Linked DNA regions of Macaca mulatta. The protein of the gene in region 3 purifies or fractionates together with the protein of the main gene of each other region. This does not show direct contact. Links are inferred from orthologs where the notes say so. Each region holds a gene or a part of one and is shown on either strand. Other genes may lie near its edges.

What was found.
Region 1: the proteins of BCL10 (region 3) and BIRC2 purify together in Homo sapiens (affinity purification with western blotting; 3 studies listed by BioGRID and IntAct, with this or other methods). This does not show direct contact. The link is inferred for Macaca mulatta from reciprocal best matches to the Homo sapiens genes BCL10 and BIRC2.
Region 2: the proteins of BCL10 (region 3) and CSNK1A1 purify together in Homo sapiens (affinity purification with western blotting; 4 studies listed by BioGRID and IntAct, with this or other methods). This does not show direct contact. The link is inferred for Macaca mulatta from reciprocal best matches to the Homo sapiens genes BCL10 and CSNK1A1.

What each region holds. Positions count from the first base shown.
Region 1 is NC_133419.1:103,217,299-103,221,564, reverse strand, and holds the start of BIRC2 (baculoviral IAP repeat-containing protein 2), read right to left. Parts: upstream 2,940-4,266; 5' UTR 2,794-2,939; intron 2,777-2,793; exon of another isoform or gene 2,335-2,776; intron 1,568-2,334; 5' UTR 310-1,567; coding exon 1-309. UniProt on the Homo sapiens protein: Multi-functional protein which regulates not only caspases and apoptosis, but also modulates inflammatory signaling and immunity, mitogenic kinase signaling, and cell proliferation, as well as cell invasion and metastasis.
Region 2 is NC_133411.1:158,474,026-158,477,677, forward strand, and holds part of CSNK1A1 (casein kinase I), read right to left. Parts: intron 2,507-3,652; coding exon 2,367-2,506; intron 1,166-2,366; coding exon 1,087-1,165; intron 1-1,086.
Region 3 is NC_133406.1:155,295,972-155,299,465, forward strand, and holds the end of BCL10 (B-cell lymphoma/leukemia 10), read left to right. Parts: intron 1-2,421; coding exon 2,422-2,777; 3' UTR 2,778-2,933; downstream 2,934-3,494. UniProt on the Homo sapiens protein: Plays a key role in both adaptive and innate immune signaling by bridging CARD domain-containing proteins to immune activation.

The DNA.
Region 1 (4,266 bases), on a different chromosome or scaffold from region 3:
ATGCTTTTCAATAGGACTGTCTCCTAGTTTCCAGTTATCCAGCATCAGGCCACAACAGAAGCATTTGACCTTGTCATTCACACCAGTATAATAAAAACCAGCACGAGCAAGACTCCTTTCTGAGACAGGAACGCCGGTGGGGAAAGTTGAATATGTAGACATTCTGTAGAGTTCACAGGAAAAGTCATACTTCATTTTTTGTTTGTTGCTGTTTGTCCAATCTGACAAGATCGTGCTATCTTCCATTATACTCTTAATGTTTTGATACGAGGGACCTGGGAAAAGTCTTTGGGAGGCAGTTTTGTGCATGAGTAGGTGACAGTACTGTTTGATAGCTAAAACAGTCACATGAAATTTCTTCACACAAAATAAGATTTTTACCACAAAAAGAAATCAATGATAGACTCTTACGTAGAATTCACTACACTTTCTTTACTGGATTTATCTCAGTTTATATTCAGGTAGGATGAGTCTCTCTCTGAATTACCAAGATACTACTTGGAACACAAGTCTTTGGGGTTGTAGTAACTCTTTTAAGTAATCTAAGTGCTATTTGTTCATAATCTTGAGTAATACTAACCTAAAGCCCTGAGAGGTGGATGCCCTTTTGAAAATGTTGAAACTCCTTGATTTTTCACAGAGATTTATATTCTCAAAATTCTAAGCAACTACAGAATACCTAAATTACTCCTTTTATTTATATTTGGTTACAAGCTATGAAGCCTGGGTAACAGATCAATTACTGATTATGCCACAAGGTAAAAAATTACATGCAGGCTTCTTTCCCTATAAGCACTTTAATATAATGTCCCCAAAAAATCTCATTTTATTCCAATAAACAAAAGTAATTAAAATCTTCATATGGTCACACTATTTAAAGGCTAAGTTCACACAGCTTATCACCATAGTATTTACATAAGCGGGCTATATTACTTCAGCTGACAACTTTTGGGGAAGTCAACACCCACAAGCTTTGTTGAACCTGTGCCTGTTATAGTGTTTGATGTCAAATGAATTTGGCTTAAAGTTCACAAACTATAAACTCTTCTATCTTTGTTAAATATCATTTGTATTTGTTTCTATTTCCTGCAGCATGTTGACTTTCTTCCTAACTTTGTATACCACTTTATTATTCTTGATCAACTGAAGGTATTTTCTCCATAAACTTAATTAGTTAGCCATAAAATTTCCACAGCACACTTTTCACACTGCATTTAAAAACTAAATAACCTGTTCATCATTTAAGGACTATTCAGCTATAATTATCAGTCATGCTGTAAACATTAATCAATTTGTCACAAGACACAACTTGTCCTTTCTAGTGTTATCAGAAACGCCTAACAAAATACTGTATTACCAAAAAAGTACTGCTTAGCATAACGTATCAGTAATCAACTCTACTAGCCTTCTTTCTGAAAACTCTTCAATGTTTTAAAAATATAATTCATACACAAAATTACACTCCATAGAATTCAAACTATATCCCTTTATAAAGCTTCGAGATCTCCAAAATGGGATTTATTACTGCAAGGGGAAAGGGAGAGGAGGATTCTTCAGGGCTGTAAATCTGAAAAGAAAAAACAAAAGGTATTTTAGAAAACCGTATTTGCATGCCAAATAGAACTTACATACTCTTCAATTTATTCACTAAAGTCTAAGAATAATTTACATTTTAGATAACACATCTTAATTTCCAGCAATTTGTCACAACTTTCTAACTGAAAAAGCTCTTAATTAAAATAAATAAATGCAACATACTCCCATAGCACTAACTATACGTGTCTTTAAAAAGCACAACTTTAGAGACAGATGGAAATTTTCACACAGGAAAACATTTTGTCCTTGCTCTCCTCCCCTTTTCTGACCTAAAGGTATCTTTGGCACTCTGCTGGAGGCAAAGGAACATTGGTGAAAAAGGCAGAGAGAGCGACAAGGTACTCCACTAAACCCTGTCAACAGCAGTACAGCAGTAATCAGACAGCAACGTTAGTTTGTAATATCAAGTCTCTCCGCGACTAGGAAAACTGCAGTAAAATGTACCACGAGTTCATTAATATAAACCCTTAAACTCTGCCAATCCCTTACAATTTCAAAGCAACGACGGTAGAAAACAACCGAAAACAAAACCTAACACAGCGGCCTGTGAAACAGTGGCCTGACGCCCACTGGCATGATTGCTTTAATTACACGCGATTTTTTATATACTATCTTTAAACGAAAGACTTTTATCTGCGAGCACCGTACTGCAGCATTCTCTTTATGCAAACTGCAGCTGGACAGGGGATAGGATGGAAGAGAAAAGAATAGAAACTATGGGATTTACCCAATAATTACCCAGAGTTGTTTCTCACAATACACAACAGACTACTGGAATGACAGAGCGCAGTGGCAACTATGAAATATGAAATATCACCGCCACCGAAATATCTTCGTTTCAATGTATTACATTAAAAGAACGCCGAGGGCTGTTTAAAACCTTGCAAAAACTGCGAGAAAACATCTTGGTCAAAGTCCAAGGGCCAGAAGAGTGGGCGGCGGCCAGAGGAGGTTTGAAAACAAGTCATATTTTAAAAACGGCTTTGACTGCAAGTCTTGAAGTTTGGGCTTCCGAATCCAATAAAACCTTGGCGAGAGTAGAAAGCAGAGAGCCCCCGGCGACCCTCGACCCTTGGCCGAAGGGCCTCTGGCCCCTTCCTTCCTCGCCCGGCCGCCACATCAGGGAAGTGGGCCCCCGCGGGCCCGCGCGTCCCCACCCTCCCCGCGCCGCCCGAGTCCGGAAGGAGCAGCACTCACCGCAGTGCGGGCGCAGCAAACAAGGAAGCTGCGCGGCAGCCTAGAGGCCTCCCCAGAGCCGGGAAGCGGCGGTACCGACAAGGAGACACGGCCGCCTCGGCTCGGGTCAGCTCCGGCGCTCCCGAAGCCCGCCGCCCCATCCGGGCTCACGCCGACGCACGATGACGTCAGCGCGCCCGGCCGGAGACTCGCGTTGGCAGCCGCGCGAGGGCGCCCGGGAGGCTGGGGCCGGAAAGCGAAACCGAGCGCACTTGCGGCCGTGGGGCGACTAACCGCCGGGAAAGACGCTGGGAGGCTCAGGGACCCCCGGCGCAACTGGACGCCCATCGGGAGTCGCGGGGTCGGCCCTTAGGGGAACGGGGACTATCCGTATCAACTCGGTGTTTGTTCGTTTTCTTCACCTTGCAGTTTGTGCCCCCTCCACGTTTCCTCTCTCTCTGTGCCTACCATTCTCCTGGGGGACGTGGCAAACCGTGAGCCGCTGCGTTTGACTCTTGGGAAACCCTGCGGAAACGCCCTGGCGCCGGTGGTTTTGCGCGTCTACCCTGTGTCACCTCAGGGTTATGATCTGGCCCCTGGCAAGGCTCCCCTAGTGTGATGCCTCCCCCGTCGAGATGACTGCATTTTGAGGATGGAGTCAGTCTGATGGCATTTTTTGCTCAAGTAAACAGTTGTAACCGTTTGTGTAGCATCAGCGTTCAACAGCTGTTTGTGCAAATCGAAAAAAGCGAAGCGTTGGAAAGTAGGAAGCATCTGATGAATAATTTTGACTCGATGAGTTTTACAATCAACTAGGTTATCTTGTTTTTAAACTTTTGGTTTTCTGTTCTGGAGACAAACAGTGCATATGCACTAAAGACAAAAGTGTCATTATTTCAGATGCTCATTGCCAGCAACGGGAACGGTATTGCAAGTCAGGCTTCACTCCCAGTATTTTCTGAATGTTTCAATAAAATGAAATATATACGTCCGCCTGTGTATTGGTGTACATGCACATATAATTGTACATAAACCACAGAGAAGCCCAAGGTTGTTTTTTTTTTTAATGCTTAGGTAATAGAAAATTTGTAAACAAACACCCTTGGCTTTTACTAGTGATGGACCTTTTGTATCCCTCCGCCATACTCCCCCAGTAGTGCCATAGACACAGTGGCATGCAGTAAATGTTTGTGCTATGACAGCCAACGAATGACTTTTGAAGTTGACGCTCTTTGCCCATTGAATCCAATGCTTGCTTCTCTCTGGGGAACTCCAAGGGGCAAATATTTTAAAAACTTCCAAATAGCGAACCACTTAATTAGGCAGCCGGGGGAATTCCAAGACCCTGAACCATTTCCCATTTCCTGTCCGTGTCATTTCTGCCTGCCAGTCAGTCACAGAACAGGAGGTCTACTGTTCCAATGTTAATAGTCAAAGAAAGTGAGTGTAACAGTTTGTAATACAGAGAAAAGAAATGCCATGGCTCCCAATGAC
Region 2 (3,652 bases), on a different chromosome or scaffold from region 3:
ATCCACCTGGCTGGGCCTCCCAAAGTGCTGAAGATTACAGGCATGAGCCACTATGCTTAGCCTGAAAAGCATTTTCTTAACCCATGTTCAACACAAGGGCAAAGGCATCAGATTAATACAAAAAAAAGTTTGTTCATCAATTAGTGACATTAATAAATGGAGTTAACTGTATAAGTCACAATATTTTTCTAAAGTGAAAATACTCATATTGGATAAAGCCACCTACCCAAGGACTGAGCACTAGCTCACAGTCACTCAATCAATACAGGTATTTCTTTAAAGAACAGGTAAGGTACAAAAATAGCCATTAAAATTTAGGACACACCAACAGTGGTGACTCACACCTATAATCCTAGTACTTTAGGATGCTGAAGTGGGAGAATTGTTTGAGCCCAAGAGTTTGAGACCAGTCTGGGCAACACAGTGAGGCACTGTTTCTACAAAAAAAATTTAAAAATTAGCTGGGCATGGTGGCATGTTCCTGTAGTCCCAGCTACAGGTAGGAGGCTGAGAGGCAGGAGGATTGCTTGAGCCCAGGAGGTTGAGGCTGCAGTGAGCCACGACTGTGTCACTGCACTCCGGCCTGGGCAACAGAGCATGACCATTCCCTGTGCCCCCACCCCCACCCAAAATTAGGACACGGTGATTTATCATTAACACACACTCACAAAAGTAATGGTAAACTCCTAGCTAATAGAAACAAAATGTTAGGACATGTGTTGCTGGATAAACAGGTTTTGCTGTACATAAAAACATACATTTTCAACATAATGGCAACATATTAACGTGAGAAAGTCTCCACCTTTCTTAGTCCATGTCCACTTCCATCTGGATAGAGCTAGTGGCTACCAGTGGGTACCAGCTTACTGTCTCTCAGAGGACACTGTTCTTCAGCTGAACTAAGTTCTTACTAAAATGATCTGGTTTCATTTTCCCAAATAAAAGGTAAAAAGTAAATTAAGGTTAATTCTTTATTATCTCAGAAAAATCTCAGACTTAGAAAGGACCTTAAATCTTATCTTCTCCAATATATATTTTTATTCTAAAAAAGAGACAGAAAAATCTGATAACGTGAGTCTGGTTTACCTTTAGCCCTTGCCATGGCAGGCTGGTTCTATTAAAATACATCAAAACATATCCTAATGATTCCATGTCATCTCGGCGACTAGAAAAGAGAACGTAACTTTATAAACTGGAAATATTATTACGAAAAACATATGAAAGAAAGCCAAGTACCCAGGAGAAATGTTCCCAAATGAGGAGGGAACACTATTTGGTGTCTTACGCAAGAAGCTACTTATTTAAGGTGATTTTAAAAAGTTTGTGTGCTACCTACCTCTAAACAAAACTTTTCCCACAGAATCCAAAATAAGACAAACAACTATCTTACAATTTAATTTTAAAAGAAGAAAAAGGATTTGGCTAAACAACCCTCTAAATGAGCTTAATGAACCAAGCAGGATGACATTCCTATGTTTTGCAGAAACTCATTTTAAAAACTTCAGGAGCACTGAAAAGGAGTTACGACTTAAACTAATTGAACATCTATATGAATGTATTCATGCATACATATCTATATATACATACATACAAATATATATTTAGAGATATATATATTTAAGGGTAGGTGTAGGTAATGCCTTGGCGTACGGAAAAAGTGACATTACAGTTTAACCTAGAGTATTAAGATATTCATGGATATTTCTTAAGCCTGAAATTCTTGGTATGAGGTTGTTTAACCTGGAGTCATATCATTGCTTTTTCCCACTAATTACTTCTATGCTTGTTTTAAGGAGCGAAAAGTGACTGTAAAAGACGAAAGGAACTTGAAACTCTAGAACTCATGTGAAGAAACAGGAAGAGAGCAGAGACTGTGACACTTTTTTACTTTAAACTAGATCATACTAATTTACATATTTGAGTGAAGTATAACAGGAGATGGTCCATCAACCCACTTTTGGTTTATTAGGATACTGATAACATTTTCCTTTCAAAAATAAATAATGCATTCTTCCCAAACTCAACGTGAATTACTAAAGTATAAAAAGTCCCGAATAGCTTCAAAAATATACGTACTATCTTCAGCTGCAAAAAGAAACGTCAACATTGCACTTATGCTTCTAACTTTATATCACACAGTATTTTCCCCCCAAGAGACAACCTTCAACAACAACAACAAATTCAAAAGATCTCATTTAACGGTCTTCTCTACACTGTCTAAAACAGCAGGTAAAATGATTAATAAGCATCCTTCAAAGTCTCAGCCAAGAAACATCCTCAGACATTGTAAGAAACTGAAATATTTCAAAAACCCATTGATGGCTTCTGCTGTGGCTACGATAAGCACATTCCATTTTCAAACTTACCTCTGCTCAATACCAAGATGTGCATTGATGCTAGCATATCGGGCAGTGCCAGTGAGGTTTTTATCTTCTCTGTATGGTATGTGTTGCCTTGTCCTGTTGTCTCTGTACTTTTTGGCCAAACCAAAATCAATAAGGAATAACTTTAAAAGAGAAATACAGAAACATTAGGTTTCCAACCTTGTTCAATTAAACTGCTTCTTATTCATTAAACGGTATCTACTCTACGCATTCGAATATATCAAAATAAAGTATCCTAAGTATTAATAGAGCAGATAATGAACAGACTTAACACCCCACCCCCATAAGTTTTTACTAGTCTTCATCAATAAATCAAGTTAAAAAAAAAAAGTCTAGTAGTTTATCCTTGTCATCTGCAGATTTTGCAGGCCCATTTCATTACATACTCAGGAGCCTGTCTTTATAAAGAAAGAAACATATACATGCCTGACAGCAGAAGCAACAAGTGTGCTATCTGTCATAACACCTGATCGTCTATACACCTGTTACTACTGGTAAACAAACATGAGATTTCAAAATCTAGATATAATGGCCGAGTGCGGTAGCTCACGCCTATAATCCCAGCACATTGGGTGGCTGAGGCAGGCGGATAACTTGAGGTCAGGAGTTTGAGACCAGCCTGGCCAAACATGGCAAAGTCCCATCTCTACAAAAAATACAAAAATAGCCAGGCGTGGTGGCACATGCCTGTAGTCCCAGCTACGCAAGACGCTGAGGCAGGAGAATTGCTTGAACCCGGGAGGCAGAGGTTGCAGTGAGCCAAGACCACGTCACTGCACTCCAGCCTGATCACAGAGCAAAACTGTCTTAAAAAAAAAAAAAAAAAAAAATCCAGATATAAGCTATCTGAACTCTTCCCTCCTACAAAGGCCACTCTTAAATGTGCCAACAGAATGCTTGTTATCTACTCTAAAAGTCTGACATTGCCAATGAAAACAAGACTTTTCATTAATAAAAACTACTACTTAGCACTGACACTATACACGTGGGTCAGGTTAAACTTCTAGAAAATTTGACAAGTTGATATAAAAATCCCCCCAAAAAGCACTTAGCATTTAAATCAAGGTGGCTTACAATTAGCAGTTTAAGTGAGTTAACTAAAAACAAAACTAGTGTTTAGAACAAAATAACGTTTAATGTTATCATGTCTATATGGTACTCAGGGAATAAGGTATTCATTTATAACGTAGCTAATTGTATGTAATTCAAGTTTACGCTCCAGAACTTAGGCCTTTTAAAAGCAAATAACTATTTTTATGAAAAAGAAA
Region 3 (3,494 bases):
GGAGGCTGAGGTGGGAGGATCACTTGAGTCTGGGACATTGAGGCTATAGTGAGCCATGATTGTGCTACTACACTCCAGTCTGGGCAACAGAGCAAGACCCTGTCTCAAAAAAGCAAAACAAAAAAAAACAGAAATGATCATTTGGCTTTCAAAGAGTTTAAACTTCAAAATTATATTCAATTTGCATTTATTTTACCTTATATGACCTTACTACATTGAAAAAGTGGAATATCTGTCAATATACTGCATTTCTATTCGTTTAATACCATTTATGGAAAACGTAACTATTATGAAATCCCTGTATACATAAGGATTTGTTTCTAAAGTCAGCAGAATATAAAATTATTCAAGAGTAACCTCTGAAAATACTGTACATCGCACATAAAGAACAGTATTTAGGCAAAGTATTTTAAAAGTCCAACTCTGCTAGTTTTTCTTGTGATCACCAGTTGATCGATCACAAGATGAAATAATTGGCACTTGTTTATAGGAATCACGTTGCATAAAATATTCGTGACTTGAAACTAGTCTGGCAGGATGTGAAAGCATGGAAACATTAAGAGAATAGCAAATTCACCTGTCCCATTTGACTCTCACTCCAGAATATACACTCATTGATTGGAATATTGTGTGGAATTGCCTACACAATTTAAATCCCCAACCCCCTCCTTTCTCTGTTCCTTGCTGTCTCTCTCTCTCTCTCCAGAACACATAAATGTGCATGTGACGTTCTACAGCTGTTCTAGGCATTAGGGATACAGAAAAGAATAATTTAGGGTTCTGCCCTTAAGGAACTCATAGTCTGTAAGTGTCCCCTTGCTGGGACACATTACAAGTTTTCCCTTTTGAGCCATATCTAAGAAAGTAGTTTCTATAGCATGGAATAGACATGCTGACTGTAAGGTTGAAAAACTAGTGGAAGAAGTGACATGTAAGTGTCCTTTATAGACTATGCAGGTTTTACCTAAAAATTGTCAACTCAGGGTTTCTGTGCCTGTAGGTTGAATATTTGCTAAGCCTAACAGAAGGGTAAATTGTATTTGTGTTTATTCTTTCAATCCTGTGGATAATGGTTAACTACACCCCTTGGATGTGATAAAATTCTTTGATGGTATCTAAGTTGTTTTCTGCTGTAGCAATACCTGAGACTGGGTAACTCATAAAGAAAAGAAATGTATTCATTTTTTACAGTTCTGGAGGCTGGTTAAGTCCAAGTCCATGGTGCCAGCATCTGGCAAGGGTCATCCATGGTGGAAGGGCAGAAGATGGAAGAGTGAGGGAGGGCAAGAGTGTGAAAGGGAAGAAAAAGGAGTCGAACTCCCAAAATAAGTAACCCATTCCCATGATAATGGCATTAGTCCAGGGCAGAGCCCTCATGACCCTGTTGCCTCCCAAAGGCCTCAGCTCCTAACACTGCTGCAGTGGCAACCAAGTTTCCAACATGTGAAATTTTGGCAGATACATTCATACCATAGCTGTTGGGAACAACCACTGTCATTTGAGTAAACTATGAGGTTGAGAAACAGGACATTATCTATTGAATTGTAGTTCTCAATTTCCCACAAAGTAGTCCTGGAATGTTGGACATGACTTGACTGTCCTGTGCCTTTTTTTTTTCTATTTTTTTTTTAAAGACCGTCTTGCTCTTGTTGCCCAGGCTGGAGTGCAATGGCACGATCTAGGCTCACTGCAACCTCCACCTCCCAGGTTCAAGCGATTCTCCTGTTTCAGCCTCCAGAGTAGCTGGGATTACAGGCACCTGCCAACACGCCTGGCTAATTTTTGTATTTTTAGTAGAGACGGGGTTTCGCCGTGTTGGCCAGGCTGATCTCGAACTCCTGACCTCATGTTCCGCCCACCTCGGCCTCCCAAAGTGCTGGGATTACAACTGTGAGCCACCATGCTCCGCCCTTTTTTCTCATTTTTAATAATAAGAGACTATCCTAGGTGACCTCTGAAATTCCTTTTAGTTCTAATATCCTATTATTCAAGAACTAGCCATTGCCATTGATCAACAGATAGAATTTTAGCATCTGCCCTGTTTACATTTTGTTTTTATTGGCTAATATTTTTTGTACCAGAATACTAAAGAATATTTATTGTGAAAGCTATTTCTTATTTTATAAAAAATTTTAGATGGTTAAGTTTATATGTACACTGTACCTTAAATAAGAATTATAACATGTCGTTTAACTTCCATGAGACTATTTTCTTATCTAGAAAATGCAAATAATAGTATACTTCATAGTTGTTGAGAAAAGCAAATTAGATTTGAAATAGATTATGACAGAAATTATAAATTGCTATTTAAATTTTGATTGTGGGGTAACTAGCTTGTAATCTTTAACAAGTCACAAGATGGACAGTGACTCCATTTTTTTTAGTTACTTTTTCATTTACATATGAATAATTTTATTGTAGGACTAAAATGTAGCAGCTGTGAACCTTTTCCAGATGGAGCCACGAACAACCTCTCCAGATCAAATTCAAATGAGAGTAATTTCTCTGAAAAACTGAGGGCATCCACTGTCATGTACCATCCAGAAGGAGAATCCAGCACGACGCCCTTTTTTTCCACTAATTCTTCGCTGAATTTGCCTGTTCTAGAAGTAGGCAGAACTGAAAATACCATCTTCTCTTCAACTACACTTCCCAGACCTGGGGACCCAGGGGCTCCTCCTTTGCCGCCAGACCTGCAGTTAGAAGAAGAAGGAACTTGTGGAAACTCTAGTGAGATGTTTCTTCCCTTAAGATCACGTACTGTTTCACGACAATGACACTTTATTGCCTTTTAATTTTTAATGATGACAAAAAATGTTTTAAAAAATATGAATCTTTTTATAAAATGGCTGTAATGATTTGTTTACATTTGATACATGTCTTTTAAAATGCGATGTAAGCATACTTTGTAAATAGGATTTTTAGAATTAAAAAAGCATGCTTTTAAGATAGCTAATTGTAAATCATGTTGATCATGTACTTTTTAGTAATTTCTTTTTTTCCTTTTTAAGGTCTTTCACTATTTTTTAAAATATTTTCTATTTTAAGACTGATTTTAATAGGGAATATATCTCTATTTGAGAATAGACTCTTACTGGGAAGAACATTTTTTCCTCAGTGCATTTGTGCTTGAAATTTTCAGTCTAATAGTCTTTGCCAGTCATTCAGCAGCAAATTTTCAGCATTAAGCTGTTCCTGTTCAGTAATAAAACCAATCACTGATGGGAAAACTGCCAATATAGAAAAATAAAAATAAAAAATCTCTTTTCCACTCCATTGTCTTATAGGCACTTAAACAGCCTTTTTTTTGAGACCGGAGGAACACTTGATGGAGTATGAGCCACCTCAGATCTCAGTTTGCCAACATTCATTTCTAATTAACATTACTAATTATACTACTTTGTTAGGATTTTCACATTCTTGGTTTAATCATTTTCATTCTTAAAGACAAATATCTTGGCCTAAACCTCAGTTATTAGATGTAATTTGATGAG